Linked DNA regions of Rattus norvegicus. The protein of the gene in region 2 purifies or fractionates together with the protein of the main gene of each other region. This does not show direct contact. Links are inferred from orthologs where the notes say so. Each region holds a gene or a part of one and is shown on either strand. Other genes may lie near its edges.

The links. Proteins that work in one complex are often made in the same cells at the same time.
Region 1: the proteins of Pus10 (region 2) and Abitram purify together in Homo sapiens (affinity purification with mass spectrometry; 3 studies listed by BioGRID and IntAct, counting the BioPlex papers as one, with this or other methods). This does not show direct contact. The link is inferred for Rattus norvegicus from reciprocal best matches to the Homo sapiens genes PUS10 and ABITRAM.

Annotation. Positions count from the first base shown.
Region 1 is NC_086023.1:76,299,381-76,304,509, forward strand, and holds the start of Abitram (protein Abitram), read left to right. Parts: upstream 1-1,673; 5' UTR 1,674-1,891; coding exon 1,892-2,006; intron 2,007-2,962; coding exon 2,963-3,014; intron 3,015-3,496; coding exon 3,497-3,626; intron 3,627-5,015; coding exon 5,016-5,092; intron 5,093-5,129. UniProt on the Homo sapiens protein: Actin-binding protein that regulates actin polymerization, filopodia dynamics and increases the branching of proximal dendrites of developing neurons.
Region 2 is NC_086032.1:101,863,702-101,868,064, reverse strand, and holds part of Pus10 (tRNA pseudouridine synthase Pus10), read right to left. Parts: intron 3,529-4,363; coding exon of another isoform or gene 3,455-3,528; exon of another isoform or gene 1,838-3,454; intron 1,832-1,837; coding exon 1,775-1,831; intron 773-1,774; coding exon 696-772; intron 607-695; coding exon 551-606; intron 1-550. UniProt on the Homo sapiens protein: Protein with different functions depending on its subcellular location: involved in miRNA processing in the nucleus and acts as a tRNA pseudouridylate synthase in the cytoplasm.

The DNA of each region.
Region 1 (5,129 bases), on a different chromosome or scaffold from region 2:
ATAATAAACCCTGCTGAAATACTGTGTGGCCTCTACTTTTCTGACTGGACCCTGACTGATAAAGCACAGCAAAGCAATCTGAGTTTTTAAAAGAATAGCTCGGGTCAGGTCTGGAAAGATGGCTCAGAGGTTTATTATGAGTGCTGGCTGCTCTTCCAGAGGCCCTGAGTTCAGTTCTCAACACCTACACAGCAGCTAACAAACATCTATAACTCCAGCTCCAGGGAGTCCCATGCCCTCTTCTGGCCTCCGAAGCCACTTCATGCACATGATAAAAGGCAAGCTCATTAGTCTCTCTAATGCCACAATTCTTTTAGCATGAACACTGACTTCTCTAAATTGTCATTCCAACACTCCTCACTCATTTAACTTTTTGGAGTTACATAGCCCTGTATTTTTCTCAGTGCTTTCAAGTTAGGAAAAGAGTATTTTCCAAATGATTGTAGGATCATAATCTGCTAATAGCCTTCCTTTGGCACCTCCTACTGCACCTCCCTGGGTTCCATGAATTCAACTTTTCTCCATCCACACATGTGCCAAAAAGTCCTTTCATACAACTTTGATCATGTCCTAAAATTCTGACCACTGCTCCATTTTCTCCCCGTGGTCCCCTACCTTCAGGCTTAGATAGCTCACTAAAGGGAAGATTAGATAAACCTATATACCTTGTAACTGAACAAGTCCAAACTGAACATTAAACTCACTATCACTCACTATCTCCTGATATTATCATAAGCTGACCCTTACATGCACATGAAATGCAACCTGAAAAACAGAGAACCTGCTGATCTCTTATCAAATAACAGCCTATCCTGGCTTGGGACTCATTGTCATCTCTGTTTCCACAAGCTAAAATTTGCCTACGCCTCTTTTTCTTTCACTTACACATAGAGGTATTCGCTGGTTATATATCATGGTTCTCAACATACAAACGAATCCTTTACACAATACCTAAGATCCGTTATGTGACTTACATCAAAACTTGCCAAATGTTAGGCCCTAGAAACAAAAGACTACACAATCACTGCCATCACAGAAATCCCGGGTTAGGCAAACCAGTTAGGAAAGCAAGAGATACACTGTTCCACAGAAATGACCCAAATGCGAGAAAGGATCCGCAGCACAGCACAAAGGCCTCTATTACCTATCACCTTCACAACGAACTAACCAATTAGCTGGTAGAGGTTTTATCTATATTCTGCAAGGAAACCAGCAATTGGGGAACAGGACCCTCATCCCCCGCAGCTGTGTCCCGCAGCGCCCCAGGTTGGATCCGGAGCAAAAGTATACACAAAACATCCGAAATTCGAAGAGAGAGGCTGTCCACGCTGCCCCGCCCGCGCGCGCAGACAGAGGCGCGTGCATCTTCCCTGCAGCAGGGCAGAACTGGCCCGCAAGACCAGGCCGCACAAAGCAGCTCAGACTGGAACGGACGAATGCTCACCTACAACGCCCTAGCGGAACTGCGCCCTCGCCTCAGTGCGCGGCTCCGAACCCTCACGGTACACTGGGTTTGGAAGGGAAACGCCAAAGCACACGGGAAACAAGAGACACGAACCACCGATGAGCGAAACCCGCCAGGTAGCACAAGAAAGGCGGCGCAGACGTGGTGTCACCCACGAGACGCACTAACTTGACGTCACCAGGTGGGTGTGGCCAGATGCACCGCCTCTGTAGATCCGAGGTCCTAGCCTGGTAGAGACAGAAGGACTTTGCTGTCTGTTGTCCCTCAGCCCTTTGACGCCCAGTTGTATTTGCCCAACAGTTGGACTTTGGCCCAGCAGCGCAAGTGACTGGGGTTGGGAAGGAGGTCGGCTGCGGGCCGGGGAGTCGCGGGCGCGCGCGTGCACAACGTTACCACGCGCCGGAAGTACTCTCCTGGACCAGCGGGATGGAAGAGCTCCCCTGCCCCGAAGCCGGGGTGGTGGCGCCAGAGGTAGTCATGTCTACCGAACCCCCAGCACCCTCCCTTGTAGATCGATACTTCACTCGCTGGTATAAAGCGGGTAAGTGCGGAATGGTGGTGAGCTCTGCTCTACCGCACAGGGTGGATGCCGCAGGTACTTCTGCCACGCGATGTAAGCCACCTGTGCTCTTCCTTGAGTTTCCTAGTCTCAGGATTACAGGTTCTATTTCCGACGTGGGAAGTGCAGTGCCATATGCGGGTTGTTGGCAGGAAAGGACGTGAACTAAACTAAGGAACTCAGCGTTAGTATATCTGGGCTTCCACACACTGCCAAGTGTTTGTGTGCTTGGAAGGATCAATCCTACGCCCAGTCGGGAAGAAACCTTAGGCGTGGAGAGAACATTAAGAGATGTTAAGGAACATCTAATGTTAAGAAGAAGCCGTGGGGGTTGGGGATTTAGCTCAGTGGTAGAGCGCTTGCCTAGGAAGCGCAAGGCCCTGGGTTCGGTCCCCAGCTCTGAAAAAAAAGAACCAAAAAAAAAAAAGAAGAAGCCGTGCATATTGTCCACTGGACGTTTTGAAGTAGGTTTCGCTGGTGTTCTTTGTGCCCAGAAAATACCAATACCACTTTTGGGGACCCTCCTCTAGCCTCTACCTTAGCCTTTTTAATTCAGGGAAACTGGTATGCCCACACACGGCGTTTAGGATAAGCAACCTTCCTAGTTCTCTTTAGGACTGAATTTTCCAAAAATGTGATTTTTTTATAACATCAAGACAGCCCCACAAAACAACACCACAATGTAAGCAACGTGATTCTTATAATAGTGTTTCTCTAATGGAAATAATAGGTCTCATCTTAAAGTGAGAAGATGGAGAAGTTAATAATCTTACCTGCCTTAACATTGAATAAAGGATTCTATCTGGATTAAGCCATTTAAACTACTTAATAGCCTTTATTTACTTTGACCACTGTGATCAGCTTCATAATGAACTATGGTAATCACATGGTAATAGTAAACACTAATTCAACAACCAGCAACTCATTTATTCCTCTAGATGTTAAAGGAAAACCCTGTGAGGACCACTGTATACTCCAGCACTCCAACCGGTAAGCAAACCAGGAATTAGAAATTATCAACACTGTCCTTCTGGTAGTTAGTCTGGTATGGTCTTGGGTTGGTTTTGAGCATTCATGAAATTGTCTTCTACAGTGTTGAAATGATATTATAGGAGTGTGGTGGGAAGAACATGTCTTGTTGGGTCATGTACTGCTTAGCCAACCTGTACCAACCACTGTACTGCTGGACCTATAGAATGGCTCCTTGTGGAGGCATTTGTCATGTTCTGTGTCCACAGTCTTGCCATGCTTCTCTGCTACCCTAGCTTACTAAAGACTTGTACTGCTCCCTTTCCTGGGAAGGAGATTCAACTCTATTCTCTCCTTTTCTGTATTATGTTCCAATCACAGCAGAGATAACTGGACTGAACAACGGTCAGGTTGGATAGTCACCCTCAGCAGGAATACTGTTACAGGAGGAGGTTTCTGGCCGCCATGCCACAACATAGGATTGACTGTTTTTCTCCTTGTAGAATATGCGTCATCACACTGGCAGGATCTCATCCCGTTCTTCAAAGTGGCAAAACTATTAAAAGTATTTCCTATCAGATCAGTAACAATTGTAGCAGACTTCAGAACAAAGTATCTGGGAAATTTAAACGGGTATGTTTCTGTAATCCTGTGATTTTTTTTCTTTTCTACTGAGATTTTCTATATTCATACTATGATGGATCCAGTCAGCCATAAGACTTTTTCTAGCAGTTCAATGTAGGTTTTCAGTAAAAACATGCTATACACTTCCACCCCACACCCCCACACACAAGTGTATCAAGATGTATAGTGTCTATCAGTAGGTTCTTCCCTCCATTCTTCTTATCCTCAAGGGATGAGATGGAAGATGGGCCTTGGCCTTGGCCTGCAATCCCACCTCTTGGGTGGTTAAGGTAGCATAATTGCAAGGGTGAGGCGATATAGGGCTATACAGTGAGTACCAGGTTACATGTAAAACTCTCAAAAACAAAAGAAAGAATCTTGGCTTCAGCTGCCCATGTTCACTGTAGGAAAAATTCTTAAAAAGAAAGCAGTGCATAAAGCATACTCATTCCCTGTTTAGAGATATTTGTCATACTACCCTAGGTGTACCCATCTCCCAGAGTATCTGAAACAATGACCATACATACTGTCAGGAACTGTGTTAAAATGTGGTACTAATAGTGAAAGGAGTTGGGTTTATTTAAACTTTTTTAAAACATTTTTATGTATGTGTCTGTGACACGTGTGTGCGGGAGCCTGCAGAGGTAAGGGGAACTTGTCAAATGCCCTAGAGCTAGTTACAGGTAACTGTCAGCTACCGTGTGGGTACTGAGAACTGAACCTGGGTCCTTCCTAAGAGCAGGAAATAGTCTTACCTTCTGAGCTATCTCCCCAGCCCACCGGTTTTATTTTTTAGTTAGAAAAATCCTAGCAGTAAACCATGTAAAGTTCCTTTACCTATTAATTTCTAATATAAAAGATAGGGCTCTTTTCATTATTTTTAGTTTGTTGTTGTCATCATTTTTGAGACAGGGTTTCACTGTTGCCCTGGCTAGCCTGGACTTAGATGTGTAGACCAGGCTAGCTTCAAACTCAGAGATTCCCCTGAGTTTGTTTTCTGAGCACAGAGATTAAAGCAAAAGCACCCACTCAGCAAAAGATCTTCATGAAAGCAACTTTGCAGGATATTGCTGACACGCGTAATGAATTTTATAATATTGCTTGCAATGAATTATCCTATAAATTGAAATCTTTATACCTGGCCATATGTAGATTTCTCATTTGTGATTAAAACACATACACACACACACACACATAGTAGTGTGTAACTAAACTAGCCATTATTATAAGATGGTACTTAGCACATAGTAGGTTATTATGTTGAAGTACGTGAATGGGTTTATATACTTGTCATTTTGCTATAACACAAACTCCAAGACTAGATCTGTTTAGGAGTGAGAGCTACCTATTAGAGGAAAATGTAAATACACCTTTTTTTTTTTTCTTCTCATTACCCAGGGGGCACAGTTTCTAACAGAGCTTGCACCTCTGTGTAAGATTTACTGCTCTGATGGAGAAGAATATACCATATCTAGGTAAGCAGTGTTTGAGCCATCCTGTAGAGGCTTAGTA
Region 2 (4,363 bases):
CTTTGATATATACTTTCATTTCTATTGTTGATGTGATATCTAGAAGTGGAACATCTAGGTCATACGGTCATTGTATGTTTGAGCTTACGAGAGACTGTCAAAGTGGTCGCACTTTCTTTCTTTTTTTTTTTTTTTTAATTCTTTTTTTCGGAGCTGGGAACCAAACCCAGGGCCTTGCGCTTGCTAGGCAAGTGGTCTACCACTGAGCTAAATCCCCAACCCCAAGTGGTCCCACTTTCAACCCCATTAACAACACACAAGGCATTCCTCTATGTCCTTGCCAGCAATTGATATTTTTCTGTTTTTGGTAACAGCCATTCTCCTGGGTGTGGCTGATTTGCACAGCCCTAGTGCAAGATGGTAGGCATTGTTTCATGTTTACTGACTACACATACATCCTCCTTTGAGAAAGGTCTGCTTAATCTCTTTCCCATTTAATTGGGTTGTCAGACTTTTGTTTTCCTTAATAGACTCTGTATGTAATTCCCTTTCACATACATGATCTTTGGAAAGTTTCCTTTTGAACTCACTCTAACACATCCATTCTTACCTGGTGACAAGCTGCAAGTCACGGACTTGGATTTTGTCAGATGATTTATTAATTTTCTGCAGTAGAGAAAGAACAGTTACCGGCTCAGTCCCGCTCAGGCACAGAGCTGACAAACACAGGCCTGGCATGGCCATGCAGCCCTCACCTGCTGCAGCTCCTTAATTTCTTGTGAAGTGAAGTGCACTCGATGAGGATTCAGCAGCTCAACCGCAAAGGGCCTTCCTAGCAGGCACGCCGGCGGGAAACAAAACCGCGTTCACAGAGTTACCATTTGGGCAAATGCAGGAGGTGTGAGAAACAGGCTGAGTTCCAGAGGACTGAGAGGTTAGAGCAATGTGGTGCCCTACATCTGGGGGACTGAAGGACACATGAGTGATGGGGCGTCTGGGCCCTGGAGCAAGGAGGCTGCTCAACCCCATGCAGGCAGTGAAAAGGACTGCGTCCCCAGAGGTCCTCACACAGGCTTGTGCCAACTACAAAACAAAACTTCAGTAGCCACTGACTAAGGTGGATACACTGATGGAACTAACATTGTCCAGAGAGCACTGCCCAGAGACACCAAGGTGAGGTCCATTCTCCCAGCCACTCTTCTAAGTGTGGATGGGTGGAGAGGGAGAGGGAGAGAGAGAGAGAGAGAGAGTCTTTGTTTGCTTCTGAGACAGGTTCTATCTGTATAGCTGTGGCAGTACTGGAACTCACTATGTAGGCCAGACTGACCTAGAACTCAAGAGATTTACCTGCCCTGTCTCACCAGTACATCACCATGCCCAACCCTGAGTTAGTCAGTCTCTGTCTCTCATGCGCGTGTGCACGCACGCACACACACACACACACACACACACACACACACACACACACACACACACTCTAAGACATGACTTCTCTAGGTAGCCCTGACTGTCCTCAAACTACATCTGCCTGCTTCTGCCTCCCAAGTCCCAAGTGCTGGGATTAAAAGTGTGTGCCTGAGAAGCTCTTAAATGGAATAACTAATAAACTTTGAGGGAAAGATTTCCTTCTTAAGGCACATACAGTCATCACAGCCTGCAGGCTTCCGGTAAGAAAGCCTCCAAGGAAATGACTGTCGTTTCAGACAAAGCCCATAGTCTGCAAAGGCAGCTGCATACTGCACAGGGCTCCCCATCTGCAGGATCCTGGCCCTCCCTTGGTTCTGAGCGGCTATAGTAGCAGGCAGGTTCTAACCAGGTTAGAACGCCATCTTACCATTTCCTAAAGTTCTCACATCTACATCTTCTCGTCCAGAGGATGAGAAATTAAAACCTGTAAGAGAAAAAGATGAGACCCAGCAGCTCTGCAATTCTTTGTTCCAACCTGTGGTAGAAATCATCCCAGCAATCCACAGGAGGTGACCTCAAGGGGTGAGGTCCACCCCATCTCTAATCTCAATCTTGGCTAAAATAGTAATGGTAATAATAAAAAAATCTATGCCCCTTGCTGGGGTAAAACTATACACATCACTTTAATTCCTATTATAACTTCACGAAGCATTAAACAAATGAACATTAAATTCCGTAGATTTAGGCAATATTCCCAGGGCCAAACAACCCAATGGCAGAGCTACACAGTTCTGATGCCAGAGCCGGAGTTCAGCTAGCACCTATGCCCCATTCTCACGGAAAGTCAAGGCTAGGAGGAAGGCCCATCTTCCTGGCCACTGGCTCTCTGCAAAAACTTTGTCTTTTTTCTCTCAAGTAAGCAAGTCTAACATGAGCAATCATGTTAAAATTAAACGCTATGGGAAGAAATTGAGAGAAAGATCTACCCTTTAAATAGCAAATTAGTTACATAACCAAACCCACCATGGAGCCATGCTAAAACCATGCATAACCCAAGATGAATTTATCCTCACAGACCAAACACTGAAAACGTCAAACAGGGGGATGGGTTTTAAAGATCTACATAACGAAGCACACAGGTTCAGATCAAGGGAAGCTGTCACTGCCACAGCAGCCGCCATTGCAGACATGGTGCTCTCCATCTTCCTTCTAAGGAAGGTGGACAGGCAGGACAGGATTGACAAATGCAGATCTGGTCGCAAGGCTGGTGGATCCAGCACTCTGACACCAGAACCCATTAACCACTCAGTCAGACTGGAACCAGCGAGACAGGAGCAGAGGATCGGGTTGAGGACTGAGAGGGGCTGGGACGCATTGGCTGCCCTGAGCAGCCTCTACAGTGCTGAACCAATGTGGGAGACCATCAGAGTCCTGCCTCACAAAGGCACTGCTGCATTCCCTCAGGATGTCTGCTATGGCAACACACTGTGCTTGATGTCAGAGACAAAGATGTTTGCAGTCCGCATCCTCAGAGAGAAGCCACTGCTGGAAAAGTCTGATGTGACATGTAGACACAGGGTAGGAGACAAATGTAAGAGCCCCCTGCACACACATTCCTGCGACGGAGCGCAGTTCCACATCCCACCCTTTATTCTGTTTACTGTTATGTTACATGTGGATATGTCTGTGTGACGCGTTATGGTACCGGCATGTACCATGGTGTTCACGTGGAGGTCAGAGGACAGTGCAGGTCAGCTCTCTCCTTCTACCATGAGGAGCTGGGGACCAGACCGAGGCCACCAAGCTTAGCAACACATGTCTGAGCCATGTCACCAGGTCTCTTTAGAAAATGTTTCAAACTTGAAAGCTAAGAAAACAAATGGAGCCCTAGATGGAACCTGGAAGCCATTTATGGGGGAAGCCTCCAGACCTTGTGAAGTGTGTGATGAGGACTAGTTGGGGGAGAAGTCTGTAGTACTAGAGAATACACGCTTAAAACTTACTTTTCTGAACCGGAATTGTGACTTGCCTTGTCCCCTCTAGTTCTACATCTTAAGGAAATGTCAAAGGAAAGGTCATGCCAAAAGCAAATGAAGAACGAGGATTATCAGGGACCATTAAGTGGTAGGCCCGCTCTGCGGTGGCTCTCAGACCCAGGGCAGACGGCTGAAGGCTTGAAGGCTGCAGGAAGCCAAGACACAAGGCTTTGACCACAGGGAACTGGCCCAACAACCGTTATTCAGCAAATAAGGCAGTGAATGTAGTGGTAGGGAAAAGCTTCCTTGATTCATGGACCTGGAGAATGCGTCAATACGCAGTACTTATTACCTACAGCATTAGCAGGCACACTAACAGGATGGACTAGTTCAAAGCAACCGAGAGACAAGTGTATCTGCCCTCCTTAGGAGGCAGACGGCTGTGTAGGAAGCAAGGCCGCTCCATTCAACACTGGTTTGTTCCATACACTGTCAAACTCAAGGACGTAACCTTCAAGCTCGTCTTCCCAGAGCCCTCAGATATGAACCACAGATCAGAAGTTACAAGCCACCCAGCTGAGAGACATGGCTGGCCAATGATGGTCATCAACCCGGGATTCTGGACAAGCTTATAACCGCACACCACTACCACACAGGAGCCAGTCACATGCAGGCCCAGACGACTGCTGTCTCTCAGCAGCTTGTCAGTTTCTCAGGGAGCACACTGAGCAGACAACCTATTTTTGTTTGTATGTTTGGTTTTTTGCTTGTATGTTTTATTTTTTGTTTGTTTTTTGAGACAAGATTTGAGTATCCCTGGCTGTCCTGGAACTCTCTATGTAGACCAGGCTGGCCTCAAACTCACAGACACCCACCAGCCTCTGCTTCCCAGAGCACTAGGATTAAAGGTGTGAGCCACCACCACCTGGTCTGTTTGTTCTGAGGTTCCTGTTGTCGAGAGTGGGTCCCACTGTATACTTCTGGTTGTCCTGGACCCTTAGAGATCAGACTGACTCCGCCTCCTCAGTGTTGGGGTGAAA